3 linked regions of the Danio rerio genome follow. The protein of the gene in region 3 binds, or shares a complex with, the protein of the main gene of each other region. Links are inferred from orthologs where the notes say so. Each region holds a gene or a part of one and is shown on either strand. Other genes may lie near its edges. The genes, in order: rnaseh2b, rnaseh2c and rnaseh2a.

Region 1 (6,457 bases), on a different chromosome or scaffold from region 3:
GGGGTGAAGTTATAGTACTATGCAGGTCGGTGGCTACAGGCTTCCAACATTCTTCAAAATATCTTATTTTGTGTTCAACAGCAGAAACAAGTGATGCACAATATATCGTTTCAGCATCGATATCGCAATGTGATCATTCGCAATAGTCACATAGTGAGTATGTGCAATGTTGAGTCTGGATTATAACTGATTATTTCATGTGTTTTCGAGTCCTTTGACTGTATGAGAATTTTAAATGCATTCAGGCATAAGTAATTGTTGGAAATCTCAAATAAATAATGTGATATTAATGTCAGTAAAAACTGTAGCAATAGTGTATGAAGCAAGATTTATCCTGGATAATAAATAAATGTATGTATTATAATTGTATGTAAATATAATGTAATTGTATTGTAACACACTTATGTTGCCATATGAGTTATTGTATTTAATATACATCTAATTTACGATTCTTTTTCTGCATTGTACAAAAGGAATTAGACTGATCAAAAATGTGGGGTATTTGTAGCATAAAAATCCTTTTTTTTTTTTTATTAAAGATACTTAAGTTCAATGATTTGGTTAAAGTTAAAACAGCACAATTTCTGTTTAAAGCTAGGAATAAATTACTTCCGAAATGCATACAAAAGTTTTCTGAATTAAGACAAGGGGGATATAATCTGAGAGAAGAACAACATTTTAAGAGGTTGAAAACAAGGACAACCTTTAAAAGAATGGTGTATGTGTGTATGTGGTGTGAAATTATGGAACAGTCTGGAACAGATTCTCAAACAATGTCAGGATAATAATCAATTCGAAAAGTTGTATAAATATATATTATTAAAGGAAGATTATGATGAATAGAGGTGATTGAAAAAGAAAAAAATAGAAAGGTATGATGCTATTTCAATTCATGGCTGTTTGCAACACTTTGTATTTTTGAGTGTATGTTACAAAATGTGAATGTACAAATGAAATTAAACAATTATCATGTCAAAGATGCCAAAAGGATAAAATATGTTTCATTTAAAGCTCATATGTCTCATGTAAAAAGAAGAGATAAGTAAAAGAAGAAACAAGATGAAGTAATAGACGAATGACGTGTGTGGTAATGGGGTGGGAAAATAATAAGCTTGTGCTTCATCCTGCTCCATTTTGACCATGTTGAAATGTGTTTTTGTTTAAAGAATTGTTTTATGTATGATTTTTCTGTTCTAAATAAATAAATCAAATTACCATTTGTAACTTTGACAAATTAACAACAATACATTTTATTGAATTGTTTAAAACGAAGACTATGCAGTATTATTTTACAATTTATTATTCAATTACTTTATACCTGAATACAGTTCGACTCATCAGAAAACAATAAAACTGGCTATTTTTTTCATTTGTTTCTTTTTTATTGAGTTTATTTAAACTTGTAGATTGTTTATTATACATTATGTACTCCCCAACAGAATCTAAAATTATAAATTATTTCCAAATAGCTATTCAAGTCATCTCATGAAATTGTATTCATATCGCAATGTACAGTTGAAGTCAGAATTATTACCCCCCACTGAATTTTTTTTTTTTTTTCAAATATTTCTCAAATGATGTTTAACAGAGCAAGGGGGTTGTCACAGTATGTCTGATAATATTTTTTCTTCTGGAGAAAGTCTTATTTGTTTTATTTAGGCTAAAATAAAAGCAGTTTTTTTTTAAACACTATTTTAAGGTCAACATTATTAGCCCCTTTAAGCAATTTTTTTCGATAGTCTACAGCAGTGGTTCTCAAAGTGGTGGTCGGGACCCCTTGAGGGGTCGCGGGACAATGAAAAGGGGTCGCTTAGTGATTTCCAAAACTCAAATACATTTGAGTAAACTATTAGAATTACCATATTTTATTCATAACCCACAGAAGATAGTTAATAGTTATGTTAAAGACACAACAACAACAACATACAAACAAAAATCAGCCATCAGCCTTTAATTTTTTTATGTTTGAATTAAATTAATGAATGACTACAAAAAACATTATACGGTTATTAGACTGTTGCATTTGTATGTTGTCAATATGCTCATGTTTTTTATGCCTATAGTTGTGTATTTTTAAAGTATAACCACCTTGAAAAATGGGGGTACCAAATCACTGACATCATTATTTTGGGGGTCGCGGGTTGTAAAGTTTGGGAACCCCTGGTCTACAGAACAAACCATAGTTATACATTAACTTGCCTAATTACCCTAACCTGCCTTGTTAACCTAAAAATGTTAATTTAAACTGTTTAGAAGTGTCTTGAAAAATATCTATCTTTTGTCATCATGGCAAAAAAATCAGTTAAAAATCTGTTATTAGAGATGAGTTATTAAAACTATTATGTTTGGAAATGCGTTAAAAAAATCTCTCCATTTAACAGAAATTGGGGAAAAAATAAACAGTGAGCCAATAATTCTAACTTTTACTGTATATCACAGAACAAAAAAATATTACAATGTAAAATATTTCCAATATCATGCAGTCCTACTATCAGAAACTGAAACAGGTTTGAAATAGATTGTGAATAAATTATGACAGAATTTTTATTTTTGTGTGAACTATCCTATTAATGGACGATTCACTCTCTGTAGTGTGAGCTTACCTCTTTGCACTGTCTGTCCAATAAACCAAGACCGGAAGTCTTCAGAAAAAGCTTTTACTTCATAAACACTCAAATCTCCACAGCCAAACAGGTACAGCGAAGAACTACCTGAACTCAGACAACGACAGAACTGTCAGTTAGTTAAGGTTCATATAGCTGATCCACGTCATCTCTAAACCATCAGTTGCAGTAAATGAGTGCACTGAGTCAAAAGGCCACCTGTAGAAGGATTCTTCAGTTTGATGAAGGAAGGATCACTGTCGACAGACCTGCCAGTGTCTAGTGCTGAATCTGAAAAAAAGGGAAGTCACAGAAGGAAAATATAAGTGGATTAATAAAATTCATAACTAAACTTAATGTAGATGTTGGTGGTTAAAGGGATAGTTTACTCAAAATAAATGAAAATTTTGTTGTCATTTACTTATCGAAAAAACTAATTCTGAAAACAAAAACATATTTTGAAGAATGTGGCCAAAACAAAAGGTTGCAGTTACATGGTATAATTAAAATACCATGGGGGTCAATGGAGACCAGAAGTTGTTCGATTGAGCACATTTTCAAAATATCTTATGCTAAGTAGAGGAGAGAAATTCTCAGAAAATTAAAAGGTAGTAAATGGTAACGTAATAACGTTATACATACACTATATGCACTACTACTAATAATTACTATTAGAGTGATTTCTGAAGGACCCGAAGACTGGAGTAATGAAGCTGAAAATTAATCTTTAAAATCACTGGAATAAATTATTAATTTAAATGATAAACTGTTTTTGCACAGTTATTTTATAGTGCATTAACATTACACAATTTTTACTGTATTCAACAAATGCAGTCTTGGTAAGCAGGAAAAGCTCATTTTTTAAACATTTAAAATATTGAATGTAACTAACGGTTAAACATAGAGCATAAAGATAAATACATTTTCATAACGAGTCCTCAGTGTATTAGGATGTGAACTGAAGACTGTTTATAACATCAGTAACGTTATATAAGTTTAGTATACAATGCATGTAGGGACATGTGTGAACATGCAACAGCAACACAGAGTAACTAACGTTAAACGTAGCAAATGTTAGATACCTGGAGCAATGACAACCCAACTGTCGCTCTCGGTGTGTGCAGACCGTTTCTTTTTAGAAGTCATTTCAAATAACTAGTTTTAAAAGTTAAACTGTAAAAACAAGTTGTCCGCTGTGTATAAATGCGACGAGTGAATGTTGTGCCTTCAGAAAAATGGCGGCAAATCTTTGAGTTACACATAAGCAGGGGTAAGTACTCGACTTCAAGTTTTATTCTAGGGTTTGTTTAGGTAGTGCTGCACAATATTATACATTCCTTAATAATATATTGCGAATAAATCAGATGTTATGTTTTTTAAGAACGGGAGTGGAGAATGGCACCTCTAAAGAAATATCGAGTGCACCGTGTTCACCCTTCTCTCCAAATGGTACGGTCTCTCAGTATTCCTTAAAGACATAGCGGGTCATTAAAAGCACCAGGCAGCCTTCAGGTCTTCCATTTTAATCAACTGATTCTTCTTTTTTGTGTTAAATTATTATTGTTAAAGAGTGTTGTTCTTGTTACCATTTAAACCATTAAAAGGTAAGGTGTTGAGTTTAGTGTACAGTATTTCAGTATCAGTACTGAAAATGAACGACCTAATCTAATGTAAAACAACACTGTATAGACTTCACTGTATAAATAAAATTTCTACATTTATAGCTATTTATAGCATGGATTTATAGATTAGTGAAGTTATAAAAGCTATTCAGACCTGATTGGTGAGTACCCTAATTTTATTGCATTGACAGGCCTATTATGATACAAATCAAACTCACAGCAGGTTCATTAGGCTGCAGTTATCTACGTGCATAAATATGTCTGTGGACTTCTTCATGTATTTATTTATATGACAAATAGTTTATAGTACATTTTTCTTTGTGGCCTATTTTTGTTGTCTGGGGGAATTGTGCAACACCACCAGCTACAAATATTTAAAAAAGAATCGTTTGTGATAAACTTCTACCCAAACATAAAAAACAAGATGCAAAGCTGTTCTCTTTTGTTGTGATATAGCCTACTGTAAACATTTACATGACACATTTATTATACAGCTTAAATAACTAATGTGTGTATTATTGGTACACACATAGCCTACATGTGCACTGAGAGGGAAGACACACAATATTAGGAAGGATGTTTAAAAAAACTCAGAGACAAGTCTTGAGGTGTCTGCTTAGTTCCAGCACTTCAAGCGGCCCCAGGATCTTGTCAGGTTTTGCCAGTGGTGCATAGGGTACAGGTGTCTCTTGCACAGTATGATAATATTTATTTACAAAGCATTTTATTCACATTGTCAGGTTGTGATCCATCAGCAGTATTAATCTAAAATCTGGATTAAATCAAAGTTTATCTAAGAATTATGTTGCCTAAATATGAGGCATGTGGTTTACAATTATACCAAATGTTTGATCCTGGACTTTATTTCACAATAAACCTGGATTAACTAGGCTACAATCTTATTGTTTCATCACTTAGGTTTAGATTTAAGTTAAGGATCAACTTTAAATTTGCAATTGATAAGGTTTAAACAGCCTAAATGCTATTCTATTTCTGGTGAAAAAAATTAAAGTTTCTCACAGATAAACAAGGGACTATCCCAACATTTTAGTTCTCTTCCTTGACCAAATGTGTTTTTAACAATCAATTCAGTTATTAATTAATACAATATAATATATATTTAGACCATATAATCTGAGACAGAGATATATTGTACTCCTAGATTAGATCTGAAAATACCCCAAAACTCATATAGAACTAAATATTATAGAAAATTGATGTTCCTGTCAATTACCTCAAGATGGCGCCAGTATCTTGGAAATGGACGAAGAGACGCCCTCAGACAGAATAGTTTTTACTTTCACCTTATATAGCGCTGCTTATTAAGTCTTACCTCATCACTATATTACACTTCTTAATATTCTTCAAATACATAACGCTTCTCATCTCGGTCACTAAAAGGCTTAATTTGTTCGACTGTGAGTGTACACGAGTATCAAACAACCTGCAGGAAATAGGCAAGAAAAAGTAAGAGTAAGATAAAGTAGCCTACATGTAGACCAGATGCTACTGAAAATAGTCGGAATAGAAACATTGTTTACATAAGGTCAATAAATTAGTGTAAGCATTTCAGCATACTTGTGAACTGTTGACACTTTATTGTTGCTTACACAGATTCAGTTTTCGTTTTCTTTATTTTCAGGATCTTATTAATAACTGTTGTCAATCTGTCTGCTGTTGGCTAGAATGTGACCCATCTTAACATTTAATGACTCCCTTTGTCTTCAACTCTCACTTCATCTCTCATTGTGGGAAAATACGTCTTTTAGCACTTTTGTCACTCATTAAAATAACTAAGCAGGACATGCACTGACACATTCTATGCGTGGGCATTCAAGTGTTGCTGATTAAGAACCAGGGTCCCCTGTTCTGCCATAAGTCTGAGGTATTCAGGTCAACCAAGGTCTGCTGAGCAAGGACATGCTGGAGGTGGAGGAGGGGCTCTAGGACATCCCAGCTGGAGAAATAAACCATCACAAGGAGGGAAAGGTGGATATGTAACATTTAAACATAATTCACAAACACTGAATATCAATTTAATTTGCTTTATGTCATGATGGAATAATGTTTTAAAATATTCTCACAAGTAGAATTTTTAATCTACCTTAAAAAAATTAAATACCACATAATAAACACAACACAATTATTATTTTTCTGACTAATATCCAAATATTAGCAATAGGGAATCACATTATTCTGATGGTCCCTTTAACGCATTTAGTTAAATGTTAC
Region 2 (6,264 bases), on a different chromosome or scaffold from region 3:
GGATTTCAAGTATTTTATGCGAGAGTGATACCAGGCAGTCCACATGTGGCTTTGTGCACTTATGAACATGTTTTGTTGTTATAATGGTTCAAGTTAATTGAAGTAAAGTTGGTTTTATAGACCATTTTGAGGCATGTAAACAAAAACAATGGTCCTGTTTCCTGCTTTACATTTTTAATTTCTATAGCTTCGAGAATCCAAAAAGAGCCACATATTGATAATGTCATGATAGCTGTTTTACATTAAGGTATGATTGAATTGCCTCTTGTTACAGTGATGAAATAGTCTGAAAACCAGCAGGAAATATTCATGAGCCAATGACATCACTACATTGAAATGGTCAATACACATCAGGGCTAAACAATAAGGACTGCCCGGTGGCCCAGGGCCGCCGTGAGAGACACTTGGGACAGTAGACCGGATCATTAATGGCCCGATTGGGACAGTGCTGCCTTGTCACTAATATTTAATTTGTCTGTGACTATTTGTCAATTGCATGCATTTTAAGTTTGTGCTTTTAAATCTTTAAATGCTACCTTCTCTGTAATGTCGTAAACAACATATTGCTTTCCGATTCGTCTTATCGGATTGATTTGACCATGCTATTTTTTTTTTGTAACCTGGTAACAACCAATACAGCGTAGAAACAGCAACATAGCGGCAACATCAAATTAAAAGGCTAAACGAAAATGTCTGTCTCTAACGTGTTGGAAGTAGACATTTACATGGAAACAACACGACAAAATAATAATGAAGTGATGTTATGCATAGTTTGCCATCACTTTGACATGTCAGCCACCTTTTTTTTTTTAATAATTTCAAACTGCAATAAAATGCCTCCACATTTTCCATACTGCTCTTTTTGTTTGCATAACACTTATATTTACAATTGTTTTTTAAGTATTGAAATTCTAGATTTACAGACTTTATTTTTGACACATTGTTTAAAATATGTGGTTAAAAATAGCTATTAACTTCCCTTTTTTTTGGTGGGGCCAGTGGAAATTTTGGCAGGGCAAGTAAAAATCTAAACCACTTGCCCGATCAGACCAGTAGAAAAAATCCTTAGCGTTGAACCCTGCACATTCTGACTTTCTCCTTAATAATTTCAGAAAATTAGCCTTTGCAATTTATAAATAGTGAAATTATATTAGCAGCCCACGATCAAAGTACAACATCAGTCCATAAAATAGTGCTAATGTTGTTTTGTAGTTGCACTTACATGAGATTTTAAACTGAATATTCAAAGTCTCATGGTAAACAAAATAGGGACCGTGTCAGAAGTTGACATTGAACCAATGTGCGGAAATAAAACCTACTTTACCTCAATTTCAAGTTTCAATATATGTGCTATAAATTGATATACACATTTGTTGTATTTTGGCTTTGACATTAGTGCTTAATGTACACAAAAGCCTATGCAAAGCTGTTCAATGGCAGATTGCATTTTAACAATGTCCCAAGACTAACAAAATCCAAACCTTTTCTCTAAATGTTTTACTGAGAGCAGTCTAAAATAAGACACGAAGGCCAGGTGAACAATCATTAAGTATTAAAATAAATATATACAGTTTAGTTATTGAAAGCTATTATAAAGTTAAACTTAAAGAGTGATACTGTGTTTCAAACAATAAAATCTACTCTGAAAAAGCTACTTATATCAACAACAAGAATGTTAAAAGTGTAATATATTATGGCAACAGAAGTTTTTCATCTAGAACAAATGCGGTGATATATACATTTTAGGGCTCTGTAATTAATCAAACGGCAATCGAAATCAACATTCAGAATCTATAATGGATCAAATTCTTGATCCATGTCAATTTTTTTAATTACTTTTCTTACCACATGTGGAGTTTCGTGACCACGCTCTGTTAAGGCTGATTTATACTACTGTGTCGAGTACACAGGTATGGTCTGGCGCAGCCTTCGTGCAGTCGAATACCTGCGCACCTTTAAAAAATGTAACTGCACGTTTGCACTACATTGACAATGATTGGAAGCTTTGCCAGATTTGCCCTGAGATGGCTTATTCTCCTTTACAATAAAATTATTATTTACATTAAAAAATTTGTTTACAAAAGATTGAAGAATAGTGCTGTTTAAACTGTTATTCGCGACATATTCCAGTTATTTGATTTAGAAGAGATGCTGCTAAATTTCTACTTTAATATGAAAAACATTTTAAATCATTTATTTTGTTTCTAAAAGTTATTTATTGCAGACGCGGTGGTGCAGTAGGTAGTGCTGTCGCCTCGCAGCAAGAAGGTTGCTGGTTCGAGCCTCGTTTGGGTCAGTTGGCATTTCTGTGTGCTAAAATTGTATGGGTGTTTCTCAGTGATGTTTTGCAGCTGGAAGGGCATCCGCTGCGTAAAACATATGCTGGATATGTTGGCTGTTTATTCCGCTGTGGTGACCCCAGAATAATAAAGGGACTAAGCCGAAAAGAAAATGAAAGAATAAATTAAGTTATTTACTTACACTTTTATAGGAAAAAGTGACTCTTGGTTTTATGCAATGTATGTTTTCAATTTCAGTTGTTCAGCGATGATGTTCACCTTTCATTCAAAACTCTCTTATTTGTAATATGTGAGCATATTTACTGTACATACCTTGTCGGTGAACTGAGGGCATTACATTTTAATTAATAATTAACCTGTCATTTTTTTAACACCTTTTTTCCAGCTTTTCTTTTTTTTGCTTGTTTTATTATACAACAAAATCACGTTCTTTAACAAGAATTAAACGAGTAAAGACATTAAATTACAATAAAGGAACCAAGGAGAGGGTACGTAATAATAAAATTACATACAATCATTTCTCCAATTGTAGTTATTAACAGGAGTTATTAAATGCACTTCTACAACAGAAAATACATGTATACAAACATTATTTTTATACTTATAAATCACTTTTCCACACATATTAATGTCTTTTTTCTAGCAGAGAAGAGAGGCTGCTTCTGGCACAATTGGATTTGTGTATGTGAAACTTACAAAGTAAGTTCATTATAAAGCCATCATTTTTTATAGGGTGACCTTGACCATAATTATCCAAAACCACGTGTTTATAAGATAAGAAAAATTTTCAAAAGATATTTTGAGCAATAAAACCTTCAACATTAATACAAAGCAGCGATATCTTACCATGCTCGTCGTTTTAACACTGTTTATAAGTGTCACATGGGTCAGCTGCGTTTACTTTGATTGGACGCGATGCATTTCTTCGTCAACACGTTGTTCCTTTTCGCGGTAAAATCCATGGCCTTCTGCCACCTACCGTTTCGTAGTAGGTGTAGAGTTGATAATGACAGTGGTTTTTCATAAATATTATTAACCGGACGTTTATAAAAACAAAGAGCGACATATACACAAGCAATGATGTAATAACGTGGTAAATATTTGTTCGCAGCTCATTGTTTACAGGCGCCCTGCAAGTGCAACAGTCATTATAGTCCCACTAGGAACTGGGAAGGACTAGGAACTACATTTCTCTATGGCGAACGTGTTTTGGTCATGCCTTCACTATTCGATAGCATCTATAATGTTAGTTCAGTTAGATAAGTGATTGCACTATCTGTAGGGAAAATGGATGTAGTTCCGTGTTTAAAAGTGCCGCAGCGTCACGCACAAATGTACAGGTAGGCAGACAGCAAACTGTTGTTTTGCGTTGCATGTTTATGTAAGCAACATGTTAGTATCATGTTCTTGCGTTATAATATTCAACTTATATTTGAAATAAACTTGATATGTGTTATTTTTCTGTAAGCCTCTTTATGTCGATATTTAAAAGGTAATATTGATATTTGAAATTCTGAAGAGACAATATCAGTAGTTTATGGGACACCACCAGTCCCTGAAAATAAAAACATAAATATACAGTGAATAAAAAGTATTTCATCCCACAAAATTACTAGAATGGCCTGATGGTGGATTTCTTTGAGTTGTTCTGTAAAGGAATATGTCATTCATTAGGTTCTCAGATTTGTTTTCTTTACAGTACAGCTGTAATAGTTCTGTTATGATTAAAACTGTTATTTAGAAATAGGATATAGCACGTTTAAGTTGTTTTCATTCACATTGATTAATTAAAAACATGATATTATGAAAAAATTCTACAAATAAACATTATTAATGACGTTCTGTCATTGAATTGTATGATGTTTTTGTATGATTTTTTGAAGACGACAAGCTTATATCCGGCCCTGTCACCTTTTTTATTGTGAAAACTTACCTTTTTAAGTGAAAATATAAATTTCTGGTAGAATGTCCTTCATAAAGTAAAACAAAAATGAAAACTTACTCAAAACGCACACCTTTTAATGGAAAATCCAAAAAAAAAAAAAACTAACTTTCTTCCTGTGCTCTATATATTTTTACAATTGTCTGTGTTTATTTTAACAGCTTATTGTTGTATTAATGTGTTTACTGCTTTTCAGAAAATACTTAGAGTCACAAGGTGTTCTGGACCGTAGGTACGGTGCAGAGAAACACTCCGATGGCACTGTAACTCTTCCGGTTGTAGCATCTGCTTTGCCACAGCTTGATCTGGTGGCACTAAAGGAACATGTCGCACAGGACAGCTTTTGTGAAATTGTTGATATCCAGGTAAACATAAACTGATGTTTGCACCCAAATCACTGAACGTCTGAACTGCAAAATAAAATATATTCATTTTTTTAGGCTCAATTGTCAAAGAAGAGCAAAGTTAAGTCAGTCCATATGAAGCTTGTAGAGGCTGCACGGTCCTTTCTGCTTTCTAAAGGGAAAGAATGGAGTGAAGATCTAGGGAGAGACATTCCTGGCCGATGGCAGTGTCATGGAGATCTTGTGCTGTTTACTGAAGGCTGCTTCTCCAATGCAGTATGGAAAGAAATTGGTGTGTGATATTAAATCCCAAACCCACTATAGTTTCAGCGTTGTGTTCATATCCTCTGCACATATACATTTGTAATTATGTTCATATCCATCTGCATACCTTTGATTATTAATAGCAGCCTGTGCATATATTCATCTATTGTAAATCTCTGTTCATAGTTAATATAACCTTGATGTAATATTCATAGTACATTCATCTGTTAATAGCACCATAGTTTTTCTGTGCACTTTATTCCTATATCCTGCACTTGCTGCTATTGCACTCCTGGTTAGACCTAAACTGCATGTGTAATGACAATAAAGTTTAATCTAATCTAATATATAATAATAGTAATAATCTATGTCCTCTGTTAAAATTGATCTACTATGTCTGATTGCATGCACAATATATTTTGTTTGTTTTAGGGTCTGAATTCTGGACTGCAGTTGCGCTGACGCTCGGAGTTAAACGTATTGCACAAATTAAAAAGATTTCCCAGGATGGTTATCGAACACCTATAGTGACGATGCTTTTAGGTGACAGCAGCCATGTAACACACATTGATAACCACATTAGGTATCTAATATTTTGTCTTGTTATTTAAAATATGCATCTCAACATATATTAACCCTTATAAAAAAATTTTTGTAAGAGAAAAAAAAGCATAATTTTTAGGCATAATTAACTACAATTATTTTTCATTCATTCACATTTTCCCCCTGTTTTTAATGTTTTGTGTTGGATCATTTTGGAACAGGGCGTATGTCAAGTATCTATAGATGTCCGAAAATATTTGTGCAAAATTATCTATTAAGCATTAGTGATCTCAAAAGTAACTTCCCCATATCTCACACACTTCTGGGATTGAATTTTGTTAAAACAAAACATTAATACTGTATACTGTATATGCCTTTTGACAAACATTTGAAGCCATGAACACATTTTTATGTGAAAGAGATTCTTTATGCAAGTAAAAATTGAAGTTGAAAAAAAATAGAAATGTAAAGTATCTATAAATAATATTAGAAAATTAGAAAATATTTATTATTGATCTCTAAAGTAACTTTGCCAAATCTCACACACTTTTAAGAGTGAATTTATATTTTGAAAAACGTGAATACTGTGTCCATCAACAATGCCTTCTGACAAACATTTGAAATCGTGAACACATCACTTTTTTATCTGAAAGGTATTCTTAATGCAAGTAAAATTGTTTATTTTGTTTAAAATCAGGCAAAAATGTTGTTTGTCTTGAATCAGTAATTTCAAATGTGTTGTTAATGGTGGTAGTTTTCAGATTATACATTTATTTTAAAATGTATTATATTATAAAGTTGATATAATAATGTGAGAAATATACATTTTATCCAACAATAAATTCAGATTTCTATATAGAAGCCAACAGTA
Region 3 (6,253 bases):
TGCGGTTTATCATGCAGGTTTGCTTTGTCTCAATCACCTCTTTGAGCTGCACCCCAGAATCCAGAGCATACTGCACCAGGCCAATCGCTGCATCGTGTGAAAGGGCATTCAGATTGTATTTTGCTCTGAAAAAATAATAACAACAAAACCTTGATGTCAGATATACTTGCAGCTATTTTTTTTTATTCTATATTCTATACAGCGAGGAAAATAAGTACTGAACATGTCATGTTTGTTTCCTGGAAATAACATTTCTAAAGGAGCTTTTGACATGGAATTGAACCAGATTACGATAAAAACCAGAACAATGTTAACATAAAAAGAAACAGACAAAAAAAAAATCTGAAATATTTTGTGTAATAACAATGGAATGACACAAGGAGAAATTACTGAACTATTAAAACGTATTTAACACTTTATATAAAAGGCTTTTGTTGGTGATGGCAGCTTAAAGACGCCTCTCATATGGAGAATGAAGTCACATGAATTGCTCAGGCATGAGTTTTTCACAGACTTCAACAGAGTATAAAAATATTGATGGTTCTGTGGGTCTCGTCTATTAATTTTGATCTTTATTTTGTATTCTCTATTGGATTCAAGTCAGGTGATTGGCTAGGCCATTCCACAGTTTTATTTTCTTTCTCTGAAAGCATTTGCGAGTCTCCTTGGCTGTGTTTTGGATCATTGTTTTGCTGAAATGTCCACCCTGGTTTCATCTTCATCATCTGCTAATGTAGATGTTGGACTGAAGCAGCGAATATTCATTTACACTGACGATGGTTGCTAATAAACTAGAGAAAAAAAAGAGATTTCAGCAGCTGTCTGGGCTTTCCATGCTTTTCAACACCTTCCTTTCTTCGTGTGTTCAATACTTTTCCTCTGCGTCCTTTCATTTTATTACACTTAACTTAATTTGTAAACTAATTAGTTTAGTTTTCGTTGCATATGTGGATTTCTTTGATTATTACCATTATATATCGTATTAGAGGGTATTCATGTACAGTTGCTATGGGAGCCCCCAGGTTGATGTCAACAGAAGAACCGCCACTCAAAAGCGAAAGCAAATCAGCATTGAATTTTATCATTTTTTTCAGTGGCTTAACTTGCACAGATTATCTATTCACCTTAACGTACACATCAAAACTAACCATGTTGATTTTGTTAACTCGCATTGCTAGTTCTGTGTTGAACAATTTATCAGTGCATAGCAATAAGAAAATAAAATTATTTGCGTTTGTTTCTAAAATTGAAATCTAAAAATGCACTTCCTGTTTGTTTTCAGTTGAATTCTCACATTAAGTCTGTCTGAGGTATTGGGCCTGACTAACATACTTAACCACGCCCCTCCAGCTGTCAGATTTGACAACAAACAGAAATGGTGAGCAGGAGGAGTTTGTTAGGCTGTAATAACTCTCCCAAAACCCTTTTCCTTTTCTTTCTGAATGAAATGCCTACTTTAAGACATCCAATTAGCCATGAGTAGAAAAAGAAAACAAGCCACGCCCACTGTTGTCTCATTTATTATTCCGTTTCTGTAGGAACTGCATCACTATATGAAAAAAAAGACAGCCGCAGCTTCCAATTCATGCAGACTTTAGGAATAACAATGTGAGCTAGTAAATAAAGTAAATTTTGATTTCAAGTGGACTGAAAACCTGCTTTACTAGTCGTAGTTTGAAGGAGTTTACCAACCAGAGCGAAATGTTGTGGAAACTATGCTTTGACAAGCAGTTTTGTACACCAAAAATGTTTGTTTTGTGCTGATTTAATCTGACATAACATCACACTAGCCTTCTCTTCACTGAAATCTAGCATGCTGGTACCTTTGTAGCATGCTGGTGGAAATCATGTTGGGCGAGAGGATCTGAAGGGCCCAGCCTACGAAACTTTTGGCCTCATCGAGCTTCACAAACAGGTTCTCTCGCTCAGCCTCCGTCAGCGTCTTTGAGTCTAAATAGACAACAAATATACTGAAGATTTACACACATGCTCTCTAACAAAATATCCATTCATTCATTTTCCTTTGGCTTAGTCTCTTTATTCATCAGGGGTCGCCACAGCGGAATGAATCACCAACTATTCCGGCATATGTTTCACACAGTGGATGCCCTTTCAGCTGTAACCCAGTACTGGAAAACACCCATGCACACTCATTCACACACACACACTCATACACTTAAGCAAATTTAGTTTACCCTATTCACCTATAGCGCATGACTTTGGACTGTGGAGGCTCCTGGAGGAAACCTACGCCAACACGGGGAGAACTTGGAAACTCCACACAGAAATGCCAACTGGCACAGCTGGTACTCAAACCAGCGACCTTCTTGCTGTGAGGTAACGGTGCTAACCACTGAGCCACCATGTCACCCTGTAACAAAACATGCTGAATAATTCAGACCAACCTGCCACTTTTAAATTCTTTAGGTCTTCTTTTCTGGATACAGGGCAGAAGCATATGCCGTACACCATGGGTCCTGGAAAATAGTAACATATTTAATGCACACTCCAGTTTCAATCGGATATGAGCTTTTTTCCAGTGAAGATGACTCTCACCTAATACGGGTCCCCTGCCCGCCTCATCGATGCCCAGGCAGCAGTCCTCTGTCTTACACAAGTCTGGGATAGATGAAGACAAGCGGCAGCTCACAGAGTTGTCCGCCTCAAAATCACTCAGATCCATCACTAATAAAACAGTGAATATCATTTTAAAACATGTTAGATCAGTATATACAGTTGAAGACAGAATTATTAGCCCTCCTGTTTATTTTTTTCCTTAATTTCTGTTTAACGGAGAAAAGATTTCTTTAACACATTTCTAAACATAATAGTTTTAATAACTCATCTCTATTAACTGATTTATTTTATCTTTGCCATGATGATGACAAAAAGTAAATAATATTTGACTTGATATTTTTCAAGACATTTCTATGCAGCTTAAAGTGACATTTAAAGGCTTAACTAGGTTAATTAGGTTAACTAGGCAGGTTAGGGTAATTAGGCAAGGTATTGTATAACGATGGTTTGTTCTGTAGACTATCGAAAAAATATAGCTTAGGAAGGCTAATAATTTTGAACTTAATTTTTTTTTTAAAAACTGCTTTTATTCTAGCCGAAATAAAACAAATAAGACTTTCTCCAGAAGAAAAAAATAATATCAGACATACTGTGAAAATTTCCTTGCTCTGTTAAACATAATTTGGGACATTTCTTAAAAAGGAAGGTGCTAATAATTCTGCTGGATAAGTTGGCGGTTTATTCCGCTGTGGTGACCCTTGATGAATAAAGGGACCAAGTTGAAGAAAATCAATGAAGCTTATCTTGAAAGGCACCTTTTAGAGTGCTATTTAAATAATATTTAAAGGAAAGAAAATTAAAGCAATATTCTAAAATTATAAAATATGAACAATATTTTGAAGGAGGTTCAATAAAGTGCTAAAATAAACTTAAAGCTAACCATTAAACTTACGTGTCGTATTTCCATTATTTATTTTCTTGAACTTGTATAAATCCTAAAGTTATAATGAATGAAGTAACCTAGTGTTTGACAGAGAAACTCTCTAAGCATTTAAACTTATCTAGAACTTATATCGTTCATTTAAAACACAATATAAAACAGTACAGTACATCATAGATGACTGTTAACAATATATGATCTGATTACTGAGAGATAACGTTATATACATTCATTCATTCATTCATTCATTTATTTTCTTTTCGGCTTGGATCGTTTTATTAATCTGGGGTTACCACAGCGGAATGAACCGCCAACGTATCTTGTATATGTTTAACGTAGCTGATGCCCGTCCAGCTGCAACCCATCTCTGGAACAACGTTATATACATAAATAATACAAATATTGTGCGAACAATGAGTAGTGAGTACATGCGGTTTTACTCTTAAATGCTAACTTGAAGTGTACACAAATACATTCTAGAACAATTAGCTTAATCGTAAAAGTGATTGTAAACAGAAGCATAAACAAGTTGGACGAACCTGAATGTGTGTGCAGCGCGCTTCAACCGGAACTACAGAATTGGCGCGAGTCTGACGGTACAGCGTGACCTTTGACCGACAATATTAAAAAGAAACGAACGTATTTGTTAATTCATTGATAAATGCAAGACATTCTGTAACACACACACAAAAATCGTGTAATGTTCAAAATCATGAAGTGAACGCGTTTAACTGTATGCCTCCTCAACTCAACGTCGCAAGGGCTTGTGGGAAATGGAGTTCAAATATTTTTTATTTTGTCGACTTCGTATATGTATGTATGTATGTATGTATGTATGTATGTATGTATGTATGTATGTATGTATGTATGTATGTATGTATGTATGTATGTGTTGAAAAGCAGAATTCGGTTGATTTTTGTGCTATTAGTTTATGTTGTGGAGGTGAAGCTTGACTAAAAAAAAAATAATAAATGAACTATACTTCACCATGGACAAGAACAAAAAACAACATACCAAATATATATTTATAAGCAAAATGTGGTGAATTTTTAAATATATTTTAATCCTGCTTTGAAATTATGGAGGACGAAACCTACAAAAACAATGAATGAAGAAACATGCAAATAAATGAACGAATACACAAATTCCTGCATAAATAAACAACTTATAAATAAATAAATATGCAAATTAATAAAAAAATGAATAAGCAAATACACAAAATCCTGCATAAATGAAACAATAAATAAATACACAAATAAATAAATATATGAATAAATAAATACACAAATACCTGTATAAACGAAACAATAAATAAATAAATACGCAAATAAATAATTAAATGACTAAAAAAATACACAAATCCCTGCATAAATAAAACAATAAACAAATAAATACGCAAATATATATATATATATATATATATATATATATATATATATATATATATATATATATATATATATATATATATATATATATATATATATGCATATTTATTTATTGTTTAATTCATGCATGAATTCGTGGATTAATTAATTAATTAATTTAATTGACTGTGACGCCCTATTTATTATTTATTTTTTATTGTTTTTGCAGGTTTCGTCCTTCATAGGCTTACAATAAATATAGGAAAATAAAAGTGCAAAGCACAATTACAAATAAATTACAATACTAATAATAATAATGAATTTTGATCATTTAATTTATTTAAAAATATAATAATTATTATTTTTTTTATATTAGGTTTAAGGTTTTCAAAGCTTCAAAGCCTTTTTGTTTACAAATTATATACATACTAAAATAAATGTCTTTGTATTTTATTAGTTTAATATTTTACAAAGTAAGGAGCAGAAAAAATTATTTTTGAAAAAAATAATTAAGCCAAAAAGTGGGCGGTGCCGTGAACCACGTCGCTCCCCCCTCTTCTTACGTAGAGCCGCTGCTCGCTGGTTTTAGAGCAGGTCGCGCGGTTGCCACTTCCTGTGCGCGTGCATCAAGGCAAAGAGAACTTTCTCGTCCACACAGAACAGGTAGGTTTTAAATACGGATATATTAACTTTAATCTGCACATTTTGAACGTTTATATAAATGTACAAATGCTTAATGAGTAGTTTTGTTGAGTACTACAGAACAAAAGAGCGCGTGTGAAACGCCGGCGTCATTTTTATATGTTGGATTTAAGTTACACTTGATAACGGAGTGAAATATATTAATGCATATATTATTATTATTATATATCATGCATGCGTTCACTTTAAGTAGTATACGTTATATGATTCGCATTATGCTACTTTTATGTAACATCATCCCACTTGAACTTGCTTTAGCTCGCGAGGCTAAACGCAGATATTGTGTATATTACTCATTTTGATATCTAAAAGCATCATGCATTCTTCATATGCATTGCTTCTCCTCTCACATTTCCAGAAACTTGATATTATAATTGCTGAACGAGACTTTTATAGTAAAGCCCTACATTAGCACACTTGTCTCGGCCTTTTCCTTTTGTCTTTTACTGATAATTTCCAGGGCAAAGTCTGAGGGTCGTTGACACATTGGTGCATTTGCTGGGGTCTGATATGATTTTAGCAGAGATACTGAAATGTCAGGCGTTATCAGAGAGTGCAGGGCCACAAGTAAGCGTTTAGGCGACCTCTGGGATGAGTTCACCACATAAAACGCTGTTAAAGTCTTTATTTTAAGCTTAGAAATGGATAAATGCACATTAGTACTGTCTTTAGTCGGTGATTTGGGTGAAAGACCGCTCTGAAGCCCTTCTTGAATTAGTTTCTTAG

Evidence for each region.
Region 1: the proteins of rnaseh2a (region 3) and rnaseh2b are in contact, whole or in part, in a crystal structure (PDB 3PUF), measured with the Homo sapiens proteins. The link is inferred for Danio rerio from reciprocal best matches to the Homo sapiens genes RNASEH2A and RNASEH2B. Residues at the interface, in NP_006388.2 of Homo sapiens: Val227, Phe228, Ile253, Trp254, Glu255, Ser284, His285, Tyr287, Phe288, Arg291, Gly292, Leu293, Glu294, Ser295, Ala296, Thr297, Ser298, Leu299; in NP_078846.2 of Homo sapiens: His16, Phe18, Lys39, Asn42, Gly48, Ala49, Ile50, Val63, Lys64, Val65, Phe66, Lys67, His70, Phe74, Val79, His86, Phe87, Val183, Tyr211, Gly214, Leu215, Asp218, Tyr219.
Region 2: the proteins of rnaseh2a (region 3) and rnaseh2c are in contact, whole or in part, in a crystal structure (PDB 3PUF), measured with the Homo sapiens proteins. The link is inferred for Danio rerio from reciprocal best matches to the Homo sapiens genes RNASEH2A and RNASEH2C. Residues at the interface, in NP_006388.2 of Homo sapiens: Thr11, Asn99, Ser102, Thr103, Leu106, Gly107, Arg108, Val109, Val196, Glu197, Lys198, Leu199, Glu225, Pro226, Val227, Phe228, Gly229, Phe230, Pro231, Gln232, Phe236, Leu245, Ala249, Glu250, Asp251, Val252, Ile253, Trp254, Glu255, Asp256; in NP_115569.2 of Homo sapiens: Pro33, Cys34, Glu35, Val36, Ala37, Val38, Ala42, Pro43, Val44, Gly45, Arg46, Phe47, Phe48, Pro50, Ala51, Arg53, Ser62, Phe63, Arg64, Gly65, Arg66, Cys67, Leu68, Leu134, Glu135, Thr136, Lys143, Gly146, Ala147, Thr149.

What each region holds. Positions count from the first base shown.
Region 1 is NC_133184.1:31,342,336-31,348,792, reverse strand, and holds the start of rnaseh2b (ribonuclease H2 subunit B), read right to left. Parts: upstream 3,811-6,457; 5' UTR 3,686-3,810; intron 2,895-3,685; 5' UTR 2,823-2,894; intron 2,712-2,822; 5' UTR 2,604-2,711; intron 1-2,603. UniProt on the Homo sapiens protein: Non catalytic subunit of RNase H2, an endonuclease that specifically degrades the RNA of RNA:DNA hybrids. Participates in DNA replication, possibly by mediating the removal of lagging-strand Okazaki fragment RNA primers during DNA replication.
Region 2 is NC_133189.1:40,010,906-40,017,169, forward strand, and holds the start of rnaseh2c (ribonuclease H2 subunit C), read right to left. Parts: upstream 3,437-6,264; 5' UTR 3,150-3,436; coding exon 3,147-3,149; intron 1-3,146.
Region 3 is NC_133176.1:55,039,527-55,045,779, forward strand, and holds the start of rnaseh2a (ribonuclease H2 subunit A), read right to left. Parts: upstream 4,042-6,253; 5' UTR 3,997-4,041; intron 2,686-3,996; 5' UTR 2,684-2,685; coding exon of another isoform or gene 2,557-2,683; intron 2,478-2,556; coding exon of another isoform or gene 2,406-2,477; 5' UTR 2,379-2,405; intron 2,117-2,378; 5' UTR 1,951-2,116; coding exon of another isoform or gene 1,850-1,950; coding exon 1,824-1,849; intron 1,641-1,823; exon of another isoform or gene 1,283-1,640; intron 810-1,282; exon of another isoform or gene 126-809; coding exon 38-125; exon of another isoform or gene 1-37. UniProt on the Homo sapiens protein: Catalytic subunit of RNase HII, an endonuclease that specifically degrades the RNA of RNA:DNA hybrids. Participates in DNA replication, possibly by mediating the removal of lagging-strand Okazaki fragment RNA primers during DNA replication.